Medicago truncatula: one gene and its partners. The main gene of each other region encodes a partner of the protein of the gene in region 4 in a complex. Links are inferred from orthologs where the notes say so. Each region holds a gene or a part of one and is shown on either strand. Other genes may lie near its edges. The genes, in order: 50S ribosomal protein L34, chloroplastic; 50S ribosomal protein L24, chloroplastic; 50S ribosomal protein L31, chloroplastic; 50S ribosomal protein L29, chloroplastic.

Evidence for each region.
Region 1: 50S ribosomal protein L29, chloroplastic (region 4) and 50S ribosomal protein L34, chloroplastic share a complex: the UniProt entries of both Arabidopsis thaliana proteins name them as parts of the 50S ribosomal subunit. The link is inferred for Medicago truncatula from reciprocal best matches to the Arabidopsis thaliana genes AT5G65220 and AT1G29070.
Region 2: 50S ribosomal protein L29, chloroplastic (region 4) and 50S ribosomal protein L24, chloroplastic share a complex: the UniProt entries of both Arabidopsis thaliana proteins name them as parts of the 50S ribosomal subunit. The link is inferred for Medicago truncatula from reciprocal best matches to the Arabidopsis thaliana genes AT5G65220 and RPL24.
Region 3: 50S ribosomal protein L29, chloroplastic (region 4) and 50S ribosomal protein L31, chloroplastic share a complex: the UniProt entries of both Arabidopsis thaliana proteins name them as parts of the 50S ribosomal subunit. The link is inferred for Medicago truncatula from reciprocal best matches to the Arabidopsis thaliana genes AT5G65220 and emb2184.

What each region holds. Positions count from the first base shown.
Region 1 is NC_053043.1:4,727,667-4,734,643, reverse strand, and holds 50S ribosomal protein L34, chloroplastic, read right to left. Parts: upstream 2,434-6,977; 5' UTR 2,396-2,433; coding exon 2,212-2,395; intron 1,062-2,211; coding exon 811-1,061; 3' UTR 531-810; downstream 1-530. UniProt on the Arabidopsis thaliana protein: This protein binds directly to 23S ribosomal RNA.
Region 2 is NC_053043.1:40,655,505-40,662,488, forward strand, and holds the start of 50S ribosomal protein L24, chloroplastic, read left to right. Parts: upstream 1-3,962; 5' UTR 3,963-4,012; coding exon 4,013-4,126; intron 4,127-5,750; coding exon 5,751-5,789; intron 5,790-6,106; coding exon 6,107-6,337; intron 6,338-6,659; coding exon 6,660-6,860; 3' UTR 6,861-6,984. Other genes in the region: calcium/calmodulin-regulated receptor-like kinase 1, read left to right, coding at 1-36, 572-772, 1,238-1,603. UniProt on the Arabidopsis thaliana protein: One of two assembly initiator proteins, it binds directly to the 5'-end of the 23S rRNA, where it nucleates assembly of the 50S subunit. Required for optimal plastid performance in terms of photosynthesis and growth.
Region 3 is NC_053042.1:7,238,317-7,244,805, reverse strand, and holds 50S ribosomal protein L31, chloroplastic, read right to left. Parts: upstream 1,559-6,489; 5' UTR 1,472-1,558; coding exon 1,406-1,471; intron 1,330-1,405; coding exon 985-1,329; 3' UTR 519-984; downstream 1-518. UniProt on the Arabidopsis thaliana protein: Binds the 23S rRNA.
Region 4 is NC_053049.1:41,914,079-41,921,924, forward strand, and holds the start of 50S ribosomal protein L29, chloroplastic, read right to left. Parts: upstream 3,027-7,846; 5' UTR 2,930-3,026; coding exon 2,606-2,929; intron 57-2,605; coding exon 1-56.

The DNA of each region.
Region 1 (6,977 bases), on a different chromosome or scaffold from region 4:
TCATTTGATTCAATGAAGAGTGATAGCACATCGTGGGATATTTTCTATAAAATAAAAAATCTGAACAAAGTTGAAAGCTTTAGACAAATACCTTGTTCATTTTATCCAACCATTATATACTAGAACTAACTGAGGTTTTAGTACAAAATAGACTTCTTTAGGACATCTTCAAGTTTAGTGGCAACAATTACTACCATGACCTCATCAAATAGCAATCATGATTGCCATTTAAGGCATTCTATAGAAGTTATCATGACTATGGTATTATGAGTAAAGCTGGTATTATTTGTTGAAACTTGAAAGCTAAGACAAAGCTGGTTTTTATATGATATATAATTTAAAACAAGGTGTAACTCTAACAATTTGACAATAAATGAAACATACACGAACTAATAATAATAAATCGAATTACTGGAATAAAATTTGTTGCCTAAAACACACACTAATGTAAAAAAAGTTGAACAAAACTTCTGTTGGTGAAAGATCAATTGCAACAAACAAGTGCATAAATAAATATCTGCACCAAAACATAATCAACTAAATAACGTACGGTCATTTTAATTTAACAAAAATCACATAAGAGATATTGTTATACATGCAAAACTGATTTTGTTGGTCATTCCATCAAGTCTCTTGCATATTTTTTGCAGCATACTGGAACAAAGATTTTGCCTAAAATAATACAAGTTTTAAATATAAAGGAGTACATAAAACCATTGTTATGAAAATAAGAAGAAAGAAAAACCTTGAAATGCGGCCAAGTTTAAGGAGCTAAATACACAAATATAATACTTTTAGGCTCTTGTGTGACTATTTGCCACTATTTGGGTGGCTCTTGGTGCAAAGGACTTTTCGTCCCTTGGCACGTCGTCGCTTTAATACAGCTCTTCCAGTTGTTGTGCTCATTCGTTTGCGGAATCCATGAGTGCGTGCCAATGATTTTCGTGATCTACTTCTCTTGGTTAAACAAAGAGCTTGTCTGCCTGCTGCTACTATAACCAGACGACCATTTTGTCTTCTAGGTCCAACATTAGGTTTCAAATCCAATCCTAGTGACAAACCTGGACATGGAGAAATCAAAACAAGCTAAATCCAAACAAATTTTTTAACTATATACATGCAGATTGAACAAATTCACCAAACAATTGAAAGCAAAGCATCCATTATTGCAAAAGAACTACAACCTCTTTTGTATTCTCTATTTTTCACATACAATTTCCAACAAAGCACTGACACGGACCCGTTGACACCGATCATAATTTGAGAAAATAAAAAATTTGGCTGTAACATGTGTCGCTGTTGTGCCATTCACCAAACACACTTTGATATTTACATGGAACCCTTGACGGTTAAAATTCAATCTAACGAGGTATTTCTATCTTGAGGTATTGCTCAAGTTTCAAATCTTTACAAAGGATGTCTTTGAAGTATTTCCATCTGACACAGGTAAACAGCAGAGTATCTTTTCTCTAATAACGACTTGCCAAATTCCTAACTTTAAGTCATGCTGAGATCAAGATGAGCATGGAATTGCAACAAACATCATTCTAATAAAAACCAGACAACAAAAAAATAAATGTCCTATGATAATGTATCAAACAACTCCTCCAAAGCCAGAGCAATGTTAACATTAGTAATATGAATATCAATAAGTAGTATTAGAAAACCACAATCCTTAGAGAGAGTAGAGCGACAATTTTCATCACCCCAATTAAAATCATTTTTCTACTCATTCAACATCTTAAAAAATGAATTGAGACATACCAGTACTACATTCAAAACTAGTTCTATTCAATTCGGATTCAAAAATTAGTTGCGGTGAAGCACGAAGCAAGGGCATTAAATTACTAGATTACATTTAAAATTCTAGAGGTGTCTTTTATTGCATTTCATCCAAAAAGAATGTAACAATATGGCTAGCATTTACAAGACATCTTATCCACTTACAACACAACCCCATTTTCCATTACAAATGCAGAAGCATAAACTTCAGAGATAAAATTTCATTTCAAACCCAAAAATTAAACTTCCATTCCAAACAGTCACCATAGTCAAGTTCAATCAAACCCAACAATAAAACATTTTTTTTTGGAAGAATTACCAATTGCATACCCAATAACAAAAAAATTGAACAATGTTTGAGGCATGAATTGAAAAATTAACAGTACAGGTATGTTTATTACAAAAGAAATTAAGAAATTAAGTTTGTACCTGAAATGGAAGAAGAGTTGAAAGAGAGAGAAGTAGGAGAAGAAGTGAATGAGCAATGAAGCAATGGAGAACGAAATTTGGAGGAATTGAGAGAGATTGAAGATGGTTTTGAAGAAGCAGTGAAAGTGGGTGCTCTGAATTTCATGGATATCAAAGGAGACACAGAAGATGATAACGAAGCCATTATCCTCTTTTTTTGTGAGTTTTGCTACGTGTTTTCGGCTTTTAAACCAGTGAGTACTGTTGAAAGTGTTTCAAGAATAATTATATTTTAATACGATTATTTTACAGATGGGGATGTAGCTCAAATGGTAGAGCGCTCGCTTTGCATGCGAGAGGTACAGGGTTCGATCCCCTGCATCTCCAGTTTTTTTTTTTTTTTTTTTTCATTCATATTCTTTATGCTATACCCCTTTGCAAGGCTTGCATCTCATCATCTTTTTCGTTTCTTATTATTTATTTTTTTTATTTTGTTTTTTGGAAGAACTTTTCTACCTTTTTCCTTCTTTTTTCATTTTTTTAACTTAATATTAATTACCTTAATTTGTCAAAATGAAAAAATATCGGAGATTTTTGTTGGATAGCAACACCAGATGTAAAATTAACTCAAAAATTAAATTTGCTTCAAACAAACTAAAATTAAATAAAATATGACAATAAATGATTGAATAATATGTACTTACTAAGACAAAATTTGAAGGTATTGGTGTGTTGTTATATCTTTCTGTAGGTTCTCCTTCTCCAATTAGCCCGTAATTTTCTTTGTTTTTCTATGTTTTTCTCTTTCATTTTCTTTATTTGAAAGGTGGTTTGAGTTAATTTTTAATATGAAATCACATCTTTTCATTTTCTTTTCTCTTTATTTTTTAAAATAAGTGATTTTTTAAATTGATCTAATTTTTTCGTAGTCTGAGTGCTACGTTGTGTTGTTCGCCGTCTTGCAATATTATTTAATTTTTTTGTCATGAAACAATATTCATTTGTTTCCTATTGAAATATTAACTTCAATCACAAGTTCAATTAATTATTTAGTCGTCAACTTTCTGATCTATAGTCATGGTATTTTGATCACTGTGATATTTGGTTATATGTCCCCCTATATATAGTCAACAGGAAATTAGAACCCTATCACAAACCAATCCCTTTTGTTTCATGTCTCCTTCGAGTAGTTGAAACCATCAACAAGGATTTATTGTGATTATTTGTATCTCTAAGTTTCCAATCTCAATTGAAAATAGAAACGAAAAAATAAAAAGGAATGACCAATCTATCTAGAATAAACCGACCCCTTTTGTCTCTAATCTAATTAAACTCAGTCCACTTTACACATTTGTGTCTAATAACATGTCACCACTAAATCAAAAGGCAGCTATTAATTGAATAATGTTATTCGTCACAGCTAAATTGTGGACAAAGAAAAAAAAAAAGGGGGATGATAGAAACCAAATATATACTCCCTCCGTCTCTATATATAAGACCCTTTTGCTAAAATCATGGGAATTAAGATACTGGATATTTGTATTAAAGTTGTTTGTAATCACTATTGTTTTTACAATTTTATCTTTAAGAAAGAAGGTTAGTTTATGTTTTCAACATGTTATTTATTGTTGATTGAAGAAAAAAATGTATAATAAATAGAGGCATGTATGTAAAGAAATAATTAATGTAGTTGGAAATAACAAAGGGGCCTTATAAAAAGGGACAAAAAAATTCTCAAAAGGGTCTTTTAATTAGGGACGGAGGGAGTATATATTTTTTTGGAAATTGTGCATTTAATACTTTAAAAGTTTTAAAAGTTATATTTTCAATATTAAGTTTCATTTAATTGAAGCTCTATCCCTTAATTATAATTAAGAAGTTTTATAGAAAAAAAAAGTTGCAAAAACATTTGATATGTTTGAGTGGTGAATTCAAATTTACAATAAAGCCACACCTAGAGTACGAGTTTGAGTTTTTTTTTTTTTTTTTTTTTTTTTTTTGCGGTGTCCAGGGTTCGAACCTTGCATATATTATAAATTGTTTTTACGACTGAGTTAAGCTCACGAGGACTGTGTAAGTTTTTTTTTTTTTATCAACTAGTGTAGTGACCCTTACATATTTTAAATGCGGAGAAGTGGGGGTATGCGGGATTTGAACGCTGACCCTTACATATTTATGCAATGTGCTTATTAACTAAGTTAAACTCACAGAACAGTGTCGGTGAGTTTTACCGCTACATTATATAAAACACAAAAATATTAAAATACTAATTTTTAATCATATTTGATAGAAAGAAGAAAAAAAAACACACATATATACAACACCGAAATGTTGATGATTGATTAGGTTTTTTGGTTAATGAAGTGTTGAGATTCATTTGCAATGTTGACAATTGTTTCGTGTTGCAATGTTGCTTGTTCTTTGAACTTGGGATGAGTCTGATTTGTTTGTGTGTGTAAGATTATTTTTTTAGATGTGATTTTGAGATTGAGGATTAAGAATTGAAATTTTGGGATGAAGATTGGGTTATGATATTTATGTGCAGAAAAAATTATCTTTCTTTTTCTAATTTAGAAAATCAATTTATTTTTATTAAAAGGATTTTTAAATGTTTTTTAATTTCTAAATCAATTTTATGATTTATTAAAATGATAATTACCACCTGGATGACACGTGGTCAACTTTACATAGTCAGCATCTGCCAAATAAGTAGCAATGGGCAAAATCGGCAAGAAAATGGGCCTAGATACTATTTTAAAAAACAAAAAAATTTGCTGGAACGTTTTTTATTTTTTTGTAGATACCAAAACTCAAACAAGTCATATTTAAAGAGACGAATAACACACTTTAGCCTTAAATAATTTATAGCCAAGATGTTGAGCATCTGTTAAAAATAGTGATAAGTAAAAGAATGAAATTATGTTGAGGTTGTGTTATGAATAGTGATAGTTAAAGAGAATAAAATTATGTTAGTACTTTAGGATACTAGTTACTTTGATAGTTGGTTAAGTTCCAAATATGCACCAAATATCATTTTCCTAAATAAAATCATTGTTTTTCTTTTGAGCATCTTTTCAACATAATTTCTTTTGAGAATTCTCATTTTCAAGCTCTCAAGCTTTGAAAGTCAATTTCCTTCATAGTTCTGAGGATTTAACATGATGGTTCCATTGACAGTGGGAGAAATTATAGTTGAGAAGAAAAGCCTAAGTGAGATTTTTGTGTGTTCAAAACATCAAATGAATCACATGAACAACAACAATACAAGCCAACAAAAAAAAAACAAGTCAGAAAGGTAACAACAAAATTTTATTTCAATACAAACTTATTAAAAAAAACAAAAGGTTAATATCATGAAATATACTTCCTTTGTCTCTTTATTTTACAAAATGTAGAAACGACACTTCCTGTTGAAGATGATGTTCCCAGTGCCTAACATTAGTGTCTCGCCATAGAGTTAGCCCTAAGAAGCCTTGGAGAACTGTTGGGTCTTGCACCGATGCCAAAGAAGGATTCAAGATTATTTTCATTCTTCTATTGGTCCAAACTTACAGTAGCTGCAGCCTGCAACCCTCTTTGGCCTCGTCAACATCTCTTTTTGCAACACGCTCGACCTTGATTCGTACTTCAGATTCAGCCCTTATGGTTTTAGCTCTTTCACGTGCTTCCCTCTCCTTTGGTGGGTGCTATTTTACCTTTATCTATTATGAAAATATTATCTTACTAGACGAAATCTAACTTTGAATTTGGTATTGTGTTCCTAATCATGCTCAATTTATAACGGAAACTTCTTTTTCTCTTCTTTGAATAGATTGCATTGTGTATGGCATGGGCTCCCTTTTTACTTCAATCTGACCCTCATTGCTAAGACTCTCACATTCATTCGTTGGGCTTTAATTACCTGACAGCATTATTTGCCTTGAATATTGTGAATGTATCGAGATCTTGTGTCTGAATATGAAATACTTGATACTTGAACTTTCCCAGTATTCTTAGGCAACTTTTACTAGATTAATATGTAACTTTGCTGGATTAGGACGTCTAGCTTTCACTCTTTATGACACTTTTGATCTCCCATTAGATGCTTACTGACTTGCAAACTTTTCTACGTATGGTTGGGGATTGGGGTGATTATTCCTTCACGGTCCTGCCTTAGGGTATTTCTCGTCATCTTAATTGTTAAACTTGAACCTCAAATTCAATCCATTTAATGGCTGGGAGTGGTTCCATAACTAAGCCTCGTGCATTTATTTTCCAACATGTTAAACCCATGTTTCATGATATGCCAGGCATGTTGTTATTAACTAGAGAGTGATTAATGCTTTCTTGCATAAATGTAAAATACTTGATGAGCGCTACTATGCATGAGCTTCACACTGGATTATATGTTATATTGGTTGAGTAATGGTGGGTTATATTTAGAAATCTCAAACATTTGAAGTTATCTAGTTTTTCGCTCAATTTTCTGTTTTTCACTAATTTGATTGAAAAAATGAAGGTTCTTATGTTAAATGGCACACATGACCGGAAGACTAACGGATTTTCAGCTTCTTGTTTTGTTACTGCTATTACGGATGCTCTAAATCGAACATATGGAGAACCTTGTAACCGTTTACAGAATCTTGAGAGAATTCCTTCCTATTGAAACTACTTGGTGTCACTATTATTATTAATGGGTTACCTTAGAAACTTCACATAAAATTGAAAGGTTTGGGATGCCAATTATCGTTGTTTCTATTACTCTTCCGTTGTCCCCTTCAATTGAAACTGTTATGTCTCCCAAATCT
Region 2 (6,984 bases), on a different chromosome or scaffold from region 4:
AACAATATTCTCTTGGATCAGTCCATGCGAGCCCGGGTATGTCCTGTTAATCATCACTTTTTCTAAGCATGACCTTGTATATCATTATCAGTATTTTACGATACATGCTAGTCGTATCTCGATTCAGCACAAGATTATAAACTCAATTGACACAAACCTGTAGTGTGTATCTATTTGGACTTGAATCTCATCTTGAACCCCAAATTATTATGAAGAAACTCGATTCACTATGATGAATCTCGGTTCACTTTAATGAATCTCGTTTCATTCTACTGAATCATTACACTTAGTTTACGCTGCAACCTATTTTGTCAACTTTGTACAGCCTACCACTTTTCTTTTGCCATTTGATTTATGACTAGAATTTTGAATTATTTTGAGGTTTGTTATGTATGTCACATGTTTTTACTTAAAAATGTTATATTTTTTACTTGAAATTTGATTTGATAACCATGATCTTTTATTCAATCTGTATGATCTGAGATAATGCTGAATGACAAAATATATATTTCCTCTAATAATTTATTGTGGGTTAGAATTCTTATGCTCTTATTGATTCTGAATCAAATAGGTTGCTGATTTTGGACTTTCAAGAGAAGAGATGGTGGATAAACATGCTGCTATTCGTGGCACCTTTGGCTATCTGGATCCTGAATATATATCATCCGGGACATTCACCAAAAAAAGCGATGTATACAGTTTTGGAGTGTTGCTCTTTGAACTTATAGCTGGCCGAAATCCTCAGCAGGGTCTTATGGAACATGTTGAACTTGTAAGACCTCTCTCCCTCTTTCAAGCCCTGTTGAAAATAAAATGTATCTTGTTGTTCTTTCTTCTTTGCTTGATACATAGTACATATCGAAACAAGTGGTGACAGATCTAGAAATTTAAGTTGCGGAGACAATACTCACAAATCCTTGTAAATAATAGGGCTTATTGTGGTTCAATTCAGAAAGAAAACCGTACCAAACTAAACCGTTACGGCGTTACCACAGTTCATAAAAACTGAAGCGAACTGTTAATGGGGTCCGTCCCAAGAGGTGCACCAGTTCGATGATTCTGAACCGAAATAAAACTACCTTTACAAAAAATCTAATTGTTCTTTCTTGAACTGAATTTATATTAGTTGGAAAAAAAATTAAAAAAATCGAACCAAATTGAATTTTTTTTGATGCAGCACACCATGATATCTAATTAATTTTTTCTGTTCTTATGAATGCTATTGATGGATGATTAGGCAGCAATGAACTCCGAGGGAAAAGTTGGTTGGGAGGAGATTGTTGATTCAAAGCTCGAAGGAAAATGTGATTTCCAAGAGGTGAATGAAGTGGCAGCACTTGCATACAGATGCATCAACCGTTCCCCAAGGAAGCGTCCTTCGATGAGGGACATAGTTCAAGTATTGACTCGGATCCTTAAAGCAAGGCATCAGAGGAATCATCACAAGAAGTCTCTTTCGGCCACAACAGATGAAGTTGCAATTGATGTTGATGAGCCAGAAAATAAGGGTCATGTTACTGACCACAGAAGAGATGAATCTATAGATAGTCGCCACAGAAGAGATGAATCTATAGATAGTGCAACTGACATGTATGATTTGTAACAAAAATAGCTTTATATTTAGTTCTTTTATTTTCTATTGTTTTATTTTTATTTATTTTTTGGCTTTGGATAATGATCTTTATTAGACATTAGGCTTTGAGTGAGTTAATGATGTTTGGCATCATCTTCTGTAGTTTTGTGTAACATTCTTTTTTTTTTTTACATTATTTTTTACTTTATTGTTTCATTCTCTTGCCTTAGTTCTGTTGTCTCGCAGAACAGAAACTCCTAAATTTGTATATTATTACTTTCATGAATGAAATTGATGTGAAAAAAGGGTTACTTTCATGCACGCAATCTATTTTCCGACTCAACTAACAATCTTAATGTCGAAAATAATTTTAATCTCACTTAAATGGATTTGCAAATTATTTGAGGGATCATAGTTTTAATTTCTGAAGAGTTAACTAGGATTTCAATTGCAAAATTAATCTAACTTCATAAATTTTAATCTCTGTACAAGAGGAGCTCCCTGTCAACCCTACTGCCTGCGCTGCACCAGTAACGAGAATCCGCTTAGCACATCATGGTAGCATGTTCATTTGCAGCTGACACAGAATCTGCTTGGCATATCATGGTAGTGCGTCCATTTGCGCTGCACCAGCAACACAGAATCCGCTTGACACATCATGGTAACGTGTCCAGTTGTAGCTGGCCATGGCAGGAGACAGGTATGTGGACTGTCCTTGACAGATTTATTGATATGAAGATTATTGCAAATATTTATTATTCAAAGTTGCAAATACAATAGATCCAAACCAGCTAGTCAAATGGTGTACAGATATGCGAAGTTTGTGGCGCTGCAGAATTTACACTTATGGAAGCAGTTGTTGAAGGTCTGCAGGAATTGCATCAGAGAGCTACGTCCTTTTTAGAACACCGGCAGCAAGTCAATAACCATATAGCAGAGAAGCAGCCAGAATGGTGATGACAAAGACCACCGGTACGGATGATAAAATGTAACATTGATTCATCGTTCACGGACAACTATGTTGGTGTAGGAATGTGTCTAAGCGATGAAGTAGGCAATTTCCTGCAAGATCGAACAGATCACTATTCTCCTCGCCTCCTTGTTCATGAAGAGCACTTGGTTTGATTGAAGCAATCAAGTGGGTTATAAGCTGGAGATTGATCATATATTTTTTGAGTCGGATTCTAAATTGACGGTTGACAATTTTAATAAACCAAATCGGGATATGTCCGAACTAGGTTATATTATTGATGATTCATGATTGTATATGTTTTATTTAAGTCCCTTTTTTGTCAAAACTCTGGTGGTGGAGTATGTTAGGAGACAAACTAATGTAGTGACTTATAAGCTAGCTAGAGTAGCTACATACAGTCAAGTCTCAAAACTTTGATTTTATCCCATACTATATCTTGCTTGATAATGATAAAAGAAATTACTTAAGTTTGCTTGCTTCAATTTTTTTTCTTTTTAAAATATAAATTTATCAATTGCAAATATGTATGCAACAGTGTAGAAGAAACCTCATAACATATATATTTTTTTAAAAATTAATAATGCTAAATGTTGTTAATAAGTCCTTTTAGATTACTGGATACAAAATAAAAAATAAAGTATAGGATATATCAAAATATTTAATAAGATGCATTCTATATTTTTAAGGATAAAACTTGGTACATTCATTTTCTTAGGTATTTTTCGTATGTTTCTTAACTAAACTATCCATGTTTTACTTAAATCGATAATTTTTTTTTAAAGTTTGTTATAAGAAAAAGTGTATTTTTAATTTAGAATTGTACAAAAGCACATAAGAAAATACATCTAAACGAGAGAAGTATAATTCAAGTATCTATTAAGAGGAGAGACATATAATTTACTTTAAGTTTTTACTTCTCAATAGTGTAAGGCAATTACTTACCACTCTATTTCATCTCACATCACCAATCCAAACATAGCACAATAGTGTAATTTACTCTAGTATTTATTATTGAACAAAAAATTAAAGAGAAAAAAATAATAATAATTGGTTCATTCCGAAGAGAGTTACAATTGAAAATTGCTTCTCCATTTCAAAATTACTTATTCCCTTAATTTAGTGGGAAACTCTCGCTCGACATTTTTCAGCGTGAGTTAACTCACACCAGCACTTTTAAGATCGATTGAACCGATTTAAAAAATGATTGAACAGATCTTAAAAATGTCGGCGTGAGTTATCCATGAAAAATGCCGGGAATTAATTCCTGCCGAGTTGAGGGAATGAGTAATTTTGAAAGGAAGAAGATCAATTTTCGTTACAATTTGGGCTTACAAAACTAACCCACATAAAGCCCATGATCCATTTTCACACCAAATTCTTCAATTTTTTCTTTTATTTTGAAATTTTGTATTATCCAAAATCATTATCAGAAGCAGAAGCAAAAAGAAGAAGTTACAGCAACAAAAATGGTAGCTATGGCTATGGCTTCTCTTCAGAGTTCCATGACCTCACTCTCACTCTCTTCCAACTCTTTCTTCGGCCAGCCTCTCTCTCCCATCACTCTCTCTCCTCTTCTTCCGGTACTTCATTCTCTTACACTCTCTCCATTAATTTTGCAAATTTGCTTCTTCTTTTTGAATTAAAGTTTCAATTTTTATTATTCTAGGTACTTATTTTCTAATTTTATCCACATGGGGTTTTTGATTTTAGTGAGTTTTAAGAGTCCAAGTTCATGGGTAATAGCATTTCGTGTTTATTTTTCTAATTAGAATTGTGGTGATATTGTTTGAATTTATAGTTAATAATTATCATCTTCATAGAATTAGTGGATGCACTAATCAGTTTATAATTCATAATTCTGTTCATGTTTATATGGCATGTCCTATTCAACGTCAATGCTTCTGATTGAAGGTGTGTCTCGGTGTCTTATTCATTTTCTTATTAGAATAAATTGAATCTGCCATTTTGTAGCATGACCAGTGCTATTGGAATTGAATGTGAATAAGCTCATAAGAGATTTAGATTTTTCACATGACAATTGTGTGTCTGAATGTGTTCTTTAGACAATCACAAATTAAGATAGGATTGAATTTGACAAATATAGTGCATATGAAGAAGGAGATATAACACAATTTTCATATCAATGTGAAAATATTGATTAAAGGATCCATTTCTAACTAATCCCTTGTAAGAATATATGTGTTCTTTGATGTGTGTTCATTTGCTTAGTGCTTGCCTAAAATTATCATTTCTAACTAAGCCCTTGTAAGAATAAATTTAAATGTTATTTGTTCATTTCTAACTAAGCCCTTGTAAGAATATATGTGTTCTAACTTATCTTTTCTCTCTCATGATCTTCTCTAAAATTTAGAGATAGACACCAATTATGGAAGGAGAAGGAGAGAGTGAGTGGAAGTGGAGGATCTGGATCCAAATTTTAGAGAGAAGATCAAGAGAGAGAGAGAAAAGGTAAGAAGATCGAGAGAGAGAGAGAGAGAGAGAGAGAGAGACACATATTTTGGGAGGAAGGAGATGGAGAGTGATTGGATGGAGAGGAAATAGAAGATTTTGATGAATCCTCTATTAAAAAAAAACACAAAGCTATCCTAGTTTCGCTATTAGAGAAATAGCGGCCACTATTCTAGTTTCTGCTAGCAGATGTAGTGCAACTGTGCAATAGAAGAAAAGTAGAATATTTGTTTTTTTTTTTTTTTTTTTAAATTACAAAATTGAAGAGTCTGCACGTGTAGCAAACAAGAACTATTTTCAAAATAGAAGAGTCGAATCGCCAGAGAGTAATACTCTCATATTCACTGTAATACGTAAGCCTTTATGTTTGTAAGCTATGCTTTGCCTCCATACCCTTTTTTATTTGTACGGAACATGTCTTTCGTTATATATAATTGACTTAATTCAAGCCTTTCGTTATATATAATTTACTTAATTCAACCAATATAGAGTCTGCTATTTCGCATAACAGATTTTTGGCATTCCACTATTTTCTGTAATCTGCGATTGACAACACTACGAAAATGCAATAATGCTTAATGTTTCATTCAATGTAATGTAACTACTACATTTTGCCAGGCTGAAATTTGACTGTTTATAAGGATAAAATGAATCTATATTGTTCTTCTTCTTACAGATGCATTTCTCAATAGTTTAGTATGCTAAATCTATATTGTTCTTATTGGTGATATGCAGGGTAAGCCGACAGATAAGCAATGTCGTATTGTAATGAAGGTAAGTATCAAATACTTCCCACATCCATGCCTAATATGATTATTCTCTTTAGTTTTTGTTAAACTAAAATCAAAATCAAGCAAATGTTAACTATAGTGATCCGAGAGCAAAGAAATGTTTTTTTTTCCGTCAATGGCATTTTCATACTCTTGCAAAAATGAAAACGATACAAACCTTATGATTTCTTTAATTTTATATTGTAAAAAAACATAAAAAGACATTGGTTTATAGGTCATGAGTCTAAATATATTGTCTAACAACTAACCTTATAAAATGTCTTGTGTAATATTTGTTTTGTTTCTTTTCTTTTCTGGCAGCTTAAACGATGGGAGCGAAAGGAATGTAAACCAAACAGCCTTCCAGTGTTACACAAATTGCATGTTAAAGTTGGAGATACTGTGAAAGTCATATCAGGACATGAAAAGGGTCAAATTGGGGAGGTTACTAAGATCTTCAAGCACAACAGCACTATCATTGTCAAAGACATAAACTTGAAGACAAAGCATGTGAAGAGTAGACAAGAGGGAGAACCAGGGCAAATAAATAAGGTTATTATCATTTCCCTTTACCAGAGAAAACATTATTATGAATTCTTCACTCTTAAGAGTTAGAGAATCTCCTATTATATAACATTCTCCTTTGTTTGAGGGAACTCGAGTTCAAATCCTGGCTGGAACAAATTTTGGTCAATTTTATTTACCTCCCGACCGAAGTTTGGATTACCATGCCTCTTTTCTCTAGAAACTTGAGGGTTAAGACAAAAAAAAGAAGTTTAGAAACATGCGTTGATGTTTATGATTTTTGTTTTTTTTTGGTGCATTTCTTGTCATGGACTCTAATACTTTTAGAAACCATTGCCTTGAATTTCAGATTGAAGGTCCTATCCACAGTTCAAATGTGATGCTCTACTCTAAAGAAAAGAATGTCGTAAGCCGTGTTGGTCATAAAGTTATTGACAATGGCAAAAAAGTTCGTTATCTAATAAAAACTGGAGAGGTAATTGATAGTGTAGAGAATTGGAAGAAACTGAAGGAAGCTACTAAAAAAACTGAAGAACTTGTTGCTGCCTAGTTTTACTATATTAATTCATGCATTCAGCAGTTATGTAACTCAATGTAGTTGTATTATTTTTTTTCCCATTTTATTGTTAAGTGTATATTATGTTGTGTTATTATTCTGGTACCTATGTTGATCT
Region 3 (6,489 bases), on a different chromosome or scaffold from region 4:
ATGATCACAACCATAGTTAAGGGTTCAAGCATAATAGCTATAACTCCTTTTGCACGCCCTTAACTAGTTTAGCTCCAAGAATTAAGGCATCGTCTAATTCTTAAGATAAAAGTTAGAAACACTCTTTTTTTAACACTCGAGTATAAGTATAACTCATATGGGTTCATCACTTTATGTGGAATTCATTTTCAAAATATGATACCGAGATTGGTTTCATCCAATAAATGAAAAGAATGAGTGTTAGAGATGTCATTATTAGAAAGATAGTGCTCATTGCCCTCCTCAATTCTTAATTGATAAAATTAAAACAAAGGTAAGCTTTGTGGCCGTACTTTCTTTGCAGTAGCAAATGGTACCCAAGTTCAACAAAGTTTCTAATATTTTAGAATCGTACACCACACATCTCAACTAAATAGCCCGATTAGTAAACTAATGGACGCTTCATTAGTTTTAAGCACAAAGTTCAGAGTTTGATCCTTAGAAATTAACTTGGCAACTAGCTTAATAACATTTGCCTGTTAAAAAAGCATACACAACATGCAAGTTCCTTTCGAAATATATCAAAAACCATGTTTCTTTACAATTGAAAGAATCACACATTACAACAACAGCCAACAAATCTCAACCATTGGATGAAAAACAGACACAGCATTAAGAAATCTTCTTTAAAATATAACTTCATCCAATTCAATAGTCGAGATTCATGATTGCGTAAATGCAGACAATAGGGAATCCAAAACCATATTTGTTTCTCATATAAGTGTATGTTTGGATTCACAACGAGTTCCGAAGCTCCAAAATGTAGTTTTGGTTATCCAAAATCACATTGGCTCACAGTGATTATACCAATCTCGCAACAATCCAAACATGAATTACTAACAAAAACAACATCAAATAAATAATCATTCAAAATACAAAACAAAAACTCATAGAAACATTTTAACAAACACCATACAATCAAATTACAATTCCAACACAAATAACTCACTTCTTCTTCCCTCCACCACTTTTAATCCCTTTACGTCTAGAAGGAATAACAATCTCACCTTTAAGCACAGGAATCTCCATAATCTGTGACAATTCACCGAACTTCTTACGAAACTTCTCCACCTGATCATCACTCACCATAAGAGCAGACCTGTTACCTAGGTAAAATGGATGGTTCCCAGACCAAACATCAACCACATACTCTTTCTGGGTTCCACCAGTTGTCATCACAAGCTCGTTATTACAGTAAACCTTAGCATCTTCATGGAATTTTGGGTGTATGTCTTTCTTCTTACAATACACTCCGAAATTGCCCACTTTTTTTCCTTTTTGATTCTGCAACTACAAAAAAAAACATGTTGGTTAGTTTAATACAGAAACAATAATTGGAAATTTTAAGGAAGTGGTTGGTTACTACGTTTTTTGTGGGAAGTGGAAGGAATGGTTTTCCTTGAACAAAGGTATTGGTAATGCACTGCGCCATTTTTTTGCAGATGAGATTAGATATGAGAATTTGAGATTGTGTGGTGTGGACATATGTTCTTGTTCTTGTTTGTAGTTCAAAATGGGCTTTTTCTTTCATTTCATGAGGCCCAATAAGCCCATTAGGAAATCATGATGGAGTGTTGTTGTTCTTACATCCATTGTTTCTTAGAGACATTAGTAAATGACCAAAAAACTCAGCGGTAGTTAACTACTACCGATTTTCTATTTTGAAGTCAGCGCTAGTTAACTACCACTGTTTTTTTTTTTTTTTTGTCATTTCTATGTGTTTCTAAAAAACAATGGATGTGAGAACTGCAACTTTAATCATAATGTATGGTATGTGTGAGACCACATATATGTATATATACATTTATTGCATAATTATAAATTATGATTACATGCATGTTTCATATCATGGGACACCGTGGCTTTTTCAGAATCACGATGAGTTATCGTCATTTTGCAAGTTAAATATAGCATGTTTGAGTACATGTGTGAATTTGACTTACATTTAATAAGATAGAAAGTAAAGAGTTTGATAGATGTGTTTTGTTAATGTGATTTTCATTTATTTTTTCTAAATAGATAGACACAAAGTGTATATTTTAAAAATTACCGTAGTCATAGTAAAAAAAATTACAGTAGTTAATCATGACCATGACAAATCCAATGTGGTACCACGCATGCACAACAAAGTTTTTTATTTTTTTTTTATTAAATCTCATTTTGGTTTCTCCATTTTGCCTTCTTTGCGATTTTGGTACTCCTATTTTTATATCGCCAATTTTCTCTTTGATGATGTGATAAATGAGATGCTTATCTGACAACTCAGTTGATGACACGATCTAATAAAATTGGAGGTCTAACTCATCCTTAAAAATTGATTCTTAAGGTGAGAATTGTCTCCTCTATATAAACTTTTACCAAGAGTCTTATATATCTTATGTGGGACATGGATTTTTTTTCCCAATACACCCCTGTCACGCCCAACACTCTTTGGGTTTGGTGCGTGAATCGGTAGGTGGCCCTTGAATTCGACAGGCTCTGATACCATAATGAAATTGGAGGCCTAACTCATCCTTAAAAACCGGTTCGTATACACCCCGTCATTAATCCATATCACAAAAGAAACAGTTTTGATGTAAAACAATGTCTAGGTGAGTTCTCACTTAATAGTTCATTTCCATAAAATCAAGTTAGATATCATATAAGCATCCCATATTTCGCCATCAAAGTTCAACCACAAAATACATTTGTCGAGAAAAATATGTAGTATTAAAAAGAAGAGTGATATATGAACATCCAAAAATAAGTGGACAACAACCTAGGCCGTATAATAATATGTTGTCGTAACAACAACCTAGGTTGTTAGAATATCATTTCTGCAATAGAGAAATGATATTTGAACATCTATTTAATGACAACTTTTGTGACAACTTTATCTCTCATACTCACATTATTTTTACTTTATCTCTCTATTGTTTTCTCACTATTTTTACTTTATCCTCCTGAATTTTGGATTGGAAAACCATTTTACATCGTACCCTTGAAAAAGGTAATGAATGTACAATCAAACATGTCAATATGGATAGATGAATGATATTTATATAAACTATTTTTTGATCATTTTTGTGATAATTTTCTTTCAAATATTTATATTATATTTTTACTTTTTCTTTCTATTGTTTTGATATTGTTGGTTATCCATTATGATTTACTAACACATAAAAGCCTTAATCTATATATAATAAACTCAAGGTTTACTCTCCTAAAAAAAAAAATCAAAGTTTATTTGAATGAGTCAAATTTGTGAATTCATGTATTTGAAAACATAAACAACAATCCAATCCAAATCACTTTAAATTTGAGTGGGTTGAATTGAGTTGAATCCAAACTCAAATGAATTCAAATAAATTACCTGATAAACTTGTATGGATCATCGGATTGAAGGGACCCACAAATGACCTAGAACACCCCTGCACTTTTTTTCTTCTAATTCCTCCTCCAGCAAAGATAAAAAAATTGGAAAGGATAATATAAATGAAAATTAACGTTTACATTGATGTAATTTTTATTTTCGAAATTTATGTAGTGGTATGTCCTCTTGTCCAATCCACATATTGTTTCTTTCCCCCAATATATAGATAGTACAATAATTATTTTTTAAGGAAGATGTAAAATGGTATTATCCGAGTACTCACTCTTCAAAAACCTTAAATAATATACTTTTTCTAATAAAAAATTGTATATTCAACACATTAAAAAATGTACTATTTAATTTTTTAAAAATTATTTTTAAATATGAAATCTTAAACCGTCATTTTAACTATATTTCTCTAGCTGAATAGTAATTTTTAAGTAACCTATCCCATTTACTTTGAGATAGGACGGTCGACATTAACTGACGTGTCTTAAATTTAATATGGGAAATCTAAATCCCCATGACATTGCATTTTAATCCAATTTGATTTGATAGGCAATGCCAAGAAAAAAAGACCAACGTGATAGGTAGTGACTTAAATTTATACGAAGCAAATCCATCTAAAATTAGTGTGGGAACAGTACTCCTTTTTTAGTCTTTTATGGTCGTTTGTTACTCAAAACATTGTGAGGTGTATGTGATGATACCACGTGACAACAACCATTGTGATTTTGAAGAAAAACACGAACATCACAAAAATATGTGCTAACTTTAGAAATCCTTGTTTGTTTGTTTGTAAACCTATCAGCTGTCATCGTCGCCACATTGTAAGTGTCACTGTCGTTATATTTAAATCTTCCTTACTACTGTGCATTCCTTTCTCTAACTAAAATTCCAACATTGTAAGTTGTAACCACCAACTTCAAATGCAGCACATAGCCCACCATTCAAACTTCTCAAGTTTCAACTAGTTAAATTTTAAGGATTAAGGCTTCCTAATAATAATAAATCAAGTATTTATATCGACACAAAAAACAACTAATTATTCATTCCGGACACATTTATAAGCAAAAATTATTTTTAAGTTTGGTGAATACTAAATGTATTGTGTGACTAGAGGAAGTATATGTTGATGCGACTAATTTTAGAGACAAGAACACATTCGGTGTCGACATCTTTGTTTTCGGACAACAAGAGAAATTGTGTACGAGCACAAACTATTTAGAATTTTAGCCAACCAAATTCTCAAGAGGCGCAAGCATGTGGGTTGAACACAAGCGTTGTTTTGGCTTATGAATTTGGGTTATACTCGAGTGTATAAAATTAGGTTGCAAGCTAGTTATAGACGGCATAAACGATAAAGCATGTCAAAATTTAGCATGCTCGTAAAACTATTATGCAATCTTTTCCAAACGTTATGATAAGTTTTATTAGAAGGAAAATCAACAATGTAACTCATTTACTAGCTCGAGCGACAATATCATATGCAAGTCGTCAAACGTGTGCGAGATTATCTACTGGATTATATTCTATCTACATCTATCGAATGAATTAGTGACAAATCAGCTGTTGCTGGATTTCTCAACAACAACAAAAATCAGCTATTACCGGCGGTTATTAGTCTTCTTCATTAACCACCAAACAATAAAACCATTTGGTAGGTTACGTGCTCAACAACAACAAAAAACCAGTTTGTAATAAAATAAAATAAAACAATAAAGAAACAAAACCATTTGGTGGGTAACGTGCTCAACGTAAAGGTCGTTAGTAGAAGGTTAGGAAGGTTTATTCTCCCGAAAATGGAAAATCTATTCAAACTGACTGAAAGAAATTACAAACTTATACGTATTATACTACTTGTTTAGATTAATATTTACTCTTTTTCGTTCCAGTTTAAATGTAAGACTTTTAACTCTTTATCATTTAGATTAAATCAATGGACCTATCAAAACCTCACATTCTTTTTATATATTTTTTTTTTTTGAATAATGGACTTTTAACTCTTTATCTTTTATTAAATCAATTGACCTATTATCAAATCCTCAGATTCTTTCTTAGATCTTATGTTTAATATCTTAAACTTTTTTTAGGGATGTTTAATATCTTTAACTTGAGAGGTGACAAATGCATTTTTTGTTGGTGAATTTGGTTTTTTTTAGGGGTTTTCGTTTTTCTATTTTAAATTTTATTATCATAAAACAACTTGCATGTGCATTGTCACCCACTAATGTAACATGGCAGCTCATTCTTTTATTCAACTTGACAAGTCACCTAAAAATACCTCCAGTTCAATGGTGGATTGTATTTACATTTTCAAAATTTTGAAAATTGAGATTATATTTTCAAACTTAGAAACAACCAAATAGTGAATAAAAAAAAATAAGGGACCAAAATAAATTTTAAGTCAGTCAAATTAAATGTAAATAAAATATTCAACCTAATGTCCCTAAAAAAAAATAATTCAACCTAATGTTTTAACTTTTAACCATGTTTCGAACCAAAAAATGTATTAACAAAAATGCATCAAAGCTTACTAAATTTATCAAAAATAAAATAAAAAAAAGCTTTTAATTGAAAGTTTATTTTTTATTTCATTTAATTTATGATTCACAATATATATTTTTGAATCATGATTCACAAAATAACGTAACTAAGAGCACTCACATCCATGTCACCCATATGAGTAGTATAAATGGGTCTCACATAATATTTTATATTACTTTACATTTTCCAATTATTTAAACCACCCAACTACATTTTTCTAAATATCCACACGACTCTCCAAAACTCTAAAATAGGTCTCACTAATCTTACAATATATTCAATTTTATATTTTAAACTATTGATAAAAGGTGAAAAAGGAAAAGAATGGCACCATTGCCATTCTTGGCACCGTAGTGTCCAAGCAGTATCCAAACTGACACACACAGGCACACGTTGGCAATACCACTGCTGATATTTGTGCTCTAAGCTATCATAATTGAGGATTCGAAAGAAAGAAAAAAAAATTAGGAAAGAATCAATTTCATTAATCAAAAAATCATATATCATGATTTTTTTAAGGGAAAAAATCATTTTTTTTTAAGGAAAAAGGG
Region 4 (7,846 bases):
TTACCAATACCCTCCTCAATCTCTCTTTCCCGCTTTACAGTAAGCAAGCGAGCAATCTACATCAATAATAACAGTAATTATTCATCCAAAAGAAGGATACCGCTTGTTGGCAAAGCTTTTATAGGATCATCTGAAGTTATTATTATTAGGGTAATATTAAAAGGCTTAATAGCAGTTTTCGCCCCCTAACTTTCACAAATTTACGATTTTGGCCCCCTAAGAAAAAAAACTACAAAACCGCCCCCTAACTTAGGGTGCCACGTCAGCGTAGACCGAGTCAAAATTGGCCTTGGGGGCCAAAACTGCCACAGATGCAAAACTTAGGGGGCGGTTTTGTAGTTTTTTTTCTTAGGGGGCTGAAACTGCTATTAAGCCAATATTAAAACCAAAAAATAAAGGAAAATGTTAAGTTTAAATAGTAAGTTTATGAAAAGTTGTGTATTCAATGCATTGGAAATTGTAATGGTTGACTTTTTTAAAAGAATAATTACTAAATTTGGGATCCTTAAAGAGTGCCCCGGGGAATATTGTTCTCTCCCCTTTTTCTATGGTGTGCATATCTTGCCTTTACCATGGAATCTAAACATTCTAAATCCTAGCTAATGCACTGCTTCTTTGCCTACTGAATCCTTAGTGCCCATTCTCCTCGATTCAATTTTTCTTGGTGGGACATGAACTCTGATAAAATGATGATGGGCCCGTCATGAGCCTCCCACGTTGCCGAAAGTGGAAAAGGAGCGCGGATAGTAAAGCAAACTGAAATAGGACTGTGAACTTCGTCTGTCACTACTGAAGGAGATTAATCTATTATGCTGGATCCTAACAAACAGAGCATGTGGCAATAGGAGAGGGCAATGGGAGATGCAGGAACCAATGGAGACGAACATTAATGTGGGAAGGATAGATGTGTGGAGGAATAGCAAATAACTTGAGCATTTGAGGGGTGATTAATAACAAAGGGCAGAGATGCTTTTCTAAGATATTTTTTTCAGTTTCGGTATATCCTTACACTTGTCTCCTGATATCTGGGTTAGAGTTTTCTTTTGGATTTTTCGATGATCTCGAAAGTCAAATCTACTTCTACCAATTTAAATTTCAGTTCTGATACAGAATATAAGTTGCATGAGTGGAAAAGGTTAATAACGTATATGAAAATAAAAAGGGCCACAGCAATTGAATTTTATTGTGGAGTGAAAATAGACATGATAAAATAAGGTTTTTTTGAGTAAATCGTGATTTTGATTGTTAAAAAAGCAATGTAATGAAGAGGACTGAAACAAAGAATAAAGGCAGAGATATTAATCTGCTGCAGCTTAATTGAATCAAAATTATAATACAACTGAGTGTAAGAATAGGCTGCAACTTGCAAAGACATTCGTTATGTGAGCATAGTCACGTTACATCATGTCCAAACAACTAAAGTAAAAGATATTGTAGGCTAGTTTATGAAGAAAGGTTAAGTATGCTAGACTGCAGTGCATCATGTCCAAAACTTGACCTTTACACTTTTCTTTCTTCTTTGGCAGTTTTATTGTCCTCTGTTTAGGGGTTCTTTGGTTTCCGGTTTTCAGTTCAGTTATTTCCGTTTACATCGGATTAGATTATACTAGATATGAATACCCCAAGCTATGTTAGCTATTAGCACTTGTTAACAAATGGTACTAAGTGGGCTCTCTCTCCTCAAAGATCTAAACTCTATCCGGCGATGGATTTAATCTGTGTGAATCTAAGAAACAAGAGTCCACAAGCCATCATATTGGTTGATTGAAATTGAACAGAAACAAGGAGAATGACTTCTCCTCCAAGCCATCTTACAACGGCCACCACACCACTCCACTTTTTCAGGTATGGTATTTTCGGGACTCTCCATATTTCAGGTACGGTGTTTTCGGGACCAATTGCTCTGTGCCGCAATACATGAGTGACAACTATGATAATTACACGAGCTACGTTGCTCGAACTACAACGAAGTTAACGAAGTTGAAGCCCTTGGCCTTTCCTTTCAATGTTTGTTTCATTGTTGCACGAGATAAAAATCCTGATGCCTTCAAATTTTACCCTAAGTTTGGTATAATGGGCACCAAAAATAATGCAAATGGGATGTAGACATAGGCTTCTTTCCTTTCCTTTCACTCCATTTCCATTCTAACGGAGCAATATTTCATTGTCCCCTTAACAATTTTGATTATTGTGTGTAATATGTAAGTCATAGGCTTGATAATTTCACTATTCCCCACCTTAGTGACTAGTGAGTCTTTGGCTTTGTGTATTTGGTTATTGACGCCCTAAACATAAATCTCTTGCACTGATCCAGGCAATAAGAAGCTAGTTGTTTCTCTAACATAACCATAAAACAATGACAATTCCAACACATTGATAATATTCAATTGAAGTTAAAATGACAAATTTCAATAGATTTTTCCTACTGGCACCCCGTTTATTCCTAATTTCAAAAACTCCCATTTACCTAACACTATTAATGTATTTAGATTGGCTTATAATCAAAAGCAACTCTATCCTAAAAATTTAATTAAGCAAATGTGAACAAAGTATATTAAAATTTCTATAAAATTGAATAAATAATCTAAAGAGTAAGAAAATATACCGTCTTACGCATGCTACGAAAATCACTGGACTTAAACTCATTACGAGCAGATTTCTGAAGACGAAGCATGAACAACTCTCCCTTAAGTTCAACAACCTCTTCATTGATTTGTTCGGTGGTTTTAGTTCTAATTTGCTTCAATTCTTCTTCTCTCTTTGCCATCATCACAACTGAGACCGAAGCGGTGCGTTTCGTCGCTGGGATTGTGCACGTGTTTGGTTGACGTAGACGAATGCCATTGAAGGAGGATTTGAAATGTAATGGTTTTGGAAGAAAAGAAAGTGTTGAAGAAGAAGATGGTGAAGCAACGGAGAGGTTCAACATTGTGTTTCCGCGCTCGTATGTTTTATCTGATGAACAGCAACTGTGTGCAGTATGTGTTGTAGTTGCAGATAAGATCCACACCCTATCTTACTTCATCCTTTATGAGCACAACTCCTCTTTTATTTTATTTTATTTTTTATTCATTTTTTCTTTCTTTATAAATTAGATTCAGAGAATTGGTTTGTATAAAAAAAAAGTTTTTTTAGATACTGGATTGAAAACATTTTTTTTTTTTAATGTTTGGTTAACAGAAATATTGGATTGAAAACATTTACGAATTCAAAGTATTTATGTATAACCAAAGTTACTTAAATAATAATATGTTATAGACGTTTTTTTAGATATAACAACGCTTTTTATAGATATCCAACATTCACTTTCTTTTTTAGAGGAATATACGTAGATTTAATCTTATGGAATGAGTTATATGAATTGTTGGAATCCACATGTATTTCACTAAAAAAAATATAGCGAGTATTAGAAATTTAAGTCAGGTTGATGGTGTTTAATGACCTTTGAGTATGGTACTTCCTCAATTGTTGGTTTCTTCTCCGTCACTCTCGGCCTTCTTTTTCGGGGAACGAAAGCAGTGTATATTTTTTTTTAAAGAAGTTAAACTAGCCCACTCAAATTGACAATGAAGAGAATCAAACATGAGACATTGCGGAGAAACACACTCCAAGAACCCAAACCAACACCACCAGAGCAACTTAAGTGGACTTCGTTGATGTTTCACATACCTGCACTTCATTGATGTTTCACTATTAGAATTTGATTACATCAAATGAGAGTCTTACAAATCATCCTAAGTGAAACAAATGAACATCAGAAAGTTCATTTCCAGCACATACTTTCAATCTGACGGACAAGTACAATTGGTAAAAAGTAAAAGCAAAAACAAAAAGCAAACTCAAGTGCGACTCAATGAGAATTAGACATGCATGGGGTTTGGTACTGCACAAGGATCAGAAAATCCCCTAAAGCATGGGCATGAAGTGACAATTCCACTTTCCTCTCTCCTGCACAAGTTCTAAGGCAGATTTGCAAAGGCTTTTGTTCAACATTATTTTGAATTATGTATGAAGAACGATACTCATGGAAAATCCCTTAAATTCATCTGACATTCATAGGATGAACCCAAAAACACATATGACATTCATCCTTATGAACTTAGGAACAATATCCTGATGAACACAACAATATTCCGAAGAACACAACAACGTTTTTAAGTATTATGATGAACCCAAAAATATTTTGAAGTTCATAATGTTGATCAAGACTTCAAGCAATAGTTGCTAAGTCCGAGGATATGTGGCACAAGACCATTGCACACGCCCTAACAACTACAAGAGGTCAAGAAACTCTGTAAAAAGATAAGAAGACTCTGCATTGAAGCACACAACTTTCAAACATACTTAAACAACTTAATCAAAGTGTTTAAAGTTATCCATAAGTCCTAGCTCAACTGGCAAAATGACGAAATTGTTAGGTCGGATGCCATGACCGGGGTTCGAACCCCGATACCTCCACTTGTGTGTGTGAGTTTATAATGGCTTTGTCATTTCGTCTATCTACAAAAAAAAAAAGTGTTTAAAGCTTCATAGCAAAATTGATTTCACAAATCAACTATAAAGATTCCTAAAATCTCAGAGAGTATGAATCAATCTTATCTTATCTTCTTAAAGATGATATTATTCCTCTCTTCTTCTTCCTATTGTTCAACTCCATTCAAACTTCCAAATCATTTGTAAGAGAAAAATCTCATCTAGCTCTAAGAGTATTAAAGTGTAGGCTGAGTATAAAGTTGTAAAGTCTTGCATGACTTAGCAAAGAAAGTCGTAAGCATGATGAGGCTTAGAGAATACATGTTGTAATTGTTCCAAGGGAACAAGGTTGTACGATGCAGGAGTTAAAAAGTTATCTCAAGCATCATAGTGAAAATCTCAGAAGATTGTGAGGAGTGAATTAGCCCCCATTAGATGAACCAATGTAAATTATGCGTGTCTTTCTTCTCTTTCCTATACCATTTACTTACGGTAAACACAACACACACACACACACAATCATTTACATTTAATATATTGTTTTTACAGTAACACTTTAGAACTTTCTGAAGTCTCTTTTTAACTTAACATTTTCAAGTTTCAACTTAAGAATTACTTTTTAAGTACATGATTTAATTTAAAAAAAAAAGGTCTTACTTCAAGGTGTATTTTGTGAATAGCGAACATACGATCACAAGTTTAAAATCCAATATTTATAATAGAAGATTAATGTTTAAGCCTTTGTACCTCTGCCTGGTCAGCTGTTTTGGAAGGACGACCATGATCCTTTTAGGGACAATTGTTGTCATTTGAGGGCACTCTTTAGAAGTTAGGTCTAACATAAAGTTCTAGGTTTAAGGTTTTGGTTTGTGAAGGATTCGTTATTATGATGAACCAATAATCCCAAGACTTTTTTTTATTTTTATTCTTTCCTTTTAATTAAAAATTCAAACTTTAATCTCAAACTCTCATCTAATCATTATTTAAAGTTAATTGAATTCATAACTCTATGTCGGAACGATACTTTATTTTTACTACTTCGATAGAACTGTGCACTTGCGGTTTTATCCCATTAGTTGTTTGCCTCGGTACCCGTTCTTATGTGCCACTGACCCATCTGGTTGTTTTCCTGCTTCTCATTCTTCCTTGTTATGGGCTGCTTTGGCTATCATTCTCGTGGGTCATTTGCTCTCATGCCACGACCATGCGGTCTCGTTTTGGGAGGATCACTTTGGGACTTAACAATGAATGAGTTTCAATCAATGCTGAAACAGCTCCCCAAACTATTATGTGAGGAACTCAAGTTATGGCTTGTACATGAAGCTGAATGGAAAATCCCTTTGTAGTTGGAATTCGTTCGCGTGTTTTTTTTTTGTTTCTCCGGACATCTGGTTCGTTAAATGTTTTTAAAACAATATCCATTTTAAGTTATTTCTAAGACAATGTTTTTTTTTGTTTCATTTAATTTTATTTTCAAGGTCTTCCTAACCACTGTCTCATGAATATTTATAAAGAAATTCATTAATAGAATTTTTTTTTCAAATATAAGTTGTCCTATTTGTTCAAGTAATAGTTATGTCATTTTTTTTAATAAAAATTTATCTTTATTTAAATTGCTTAACTAATATCCTTGAGAAACACTCTCGACATCCTCTTTATTTTTGAGCTATGTTATTTGTACATTTAAAATTGGACAACCATTAACTTTGCAAGGAGTAGAGCTGTCAAAACGGGCGAGCCCGTTTAGCCCGAATAAATATAGGGCTTCGGCCTAAAATATTGAGCCCGAATTTTAATAGGGCTTTTTAGCCCGGCCCTTAAAAGCCCGGTACCCGTTAGGGCTAGCCCGAATGGGCCGGGGGTAGCCCGTTAGCCCGCATAACAAAAAAAAATTCTATAAATTATATATATATTTCAAATAATTATTTACTTAGTTGATTATCAAAGTATAAAACAAAAGTGAAAATTCAATGAATTAACACAAATATAAATGTAATATAAAATTATATTTATTCATTTCGTTATTTATAGTTTTAAAGATCGAATATATAAATATCTATAACCATAACATATCTAATTTATTTAAAATCATTTTTCTCGTCGTTTTAGTTTACGATGTTTGTACGAAAATGTTTACAATTTACTTTTGTGCTAGACATTATTTAAACATATTAAAAATATTATTTATAAAAAAATTATAGTAGTGTTTTATAATATTTTTTAAAATAAAAAAAATATAATTTTTAATACGGGCCGGCCCGTGTAGGGCCGGGCTCGGGTAGTATATTTCAAGCCCGTTTTATCAATCGGGCTTTTTGGCCCGGTCCGCTAAAGCCCGAAGCCCGCTAGGGTTGGCCCGTTTAGGGCCGGGCCGCCCGTTTTGACAGCTCTAGCAAGGAGTATAGAAATCGAAATCAGATAAAATATTATTAAACATAGCAAATAAATTGTTGGTTGTACAATTTAGTTGTTCAAATATCATTTCTATTTATTTTTAAATCTCTTTTAATTTAATTTTAAAGTATCTTCGTTAGTTTGTGACCCAACATATGTTGAATCATACACAGAGACATCATAGAGGTGTTTAAGTGCTGTAATAAATTATGTTAATGAAAGTTGGTAGTTAGTTGAATTTTTTTTTTAAGGAATTAGTTAGTTGAAATTTTGACGTTAATGTATTAGTCTAGCGTTGGTCTATGTGGACTTTTGTGCTAGTCGAGGTTAGGCATGTTAGGAATTAACAAGAATTTTAATGGAAAATTGAAGATGTGAGTTATTTTTAAACAATTTTTATTTGAAAAAAAATCAATTATTTTGAGACAGTGTGTGAGTGTCAATTTTACAATTTAAGTGCATGTTTCCAACTGTTTTGAATGAAAATATCCATTAATTATGATGGCAAAGCCACAGCCCACAAGGGAGTAACAAATGTCATTTTTTCACAATCTTCTTTGATTTAGACCGATTGCTACGAACCTCTCTCGTTTTCTATCTAAAGCTTCCATTAATTTTTTGGCCTCATCAATTGTTTGGTTTAATCGGAGAACTCAACTTGAGCCACTCCTTTTCACATCCACTCAAAATACGTTTCAAAAGTCTCATGTCGCACTTGCTACCACTAAATAAATGGGGCAGAATATCGAACTATAATTTTGTCCCATTAATTTTGTTTTTGACAAATTGTCCCTTTTAAAATTTAAAAACGTACATCAAAATTATTTTCAAACCACTCTTATCTTTTACAAGGTGTAATTAAGACCATAACATGAATAGTGAAATTACTAAAGTGGAGAGTGTCAGAGGTCCGGAGGAAGAGATTCGTCATCACTCGAGGCTTTGTGGATGCATGATACGATGTTTTCACTGCAATAAG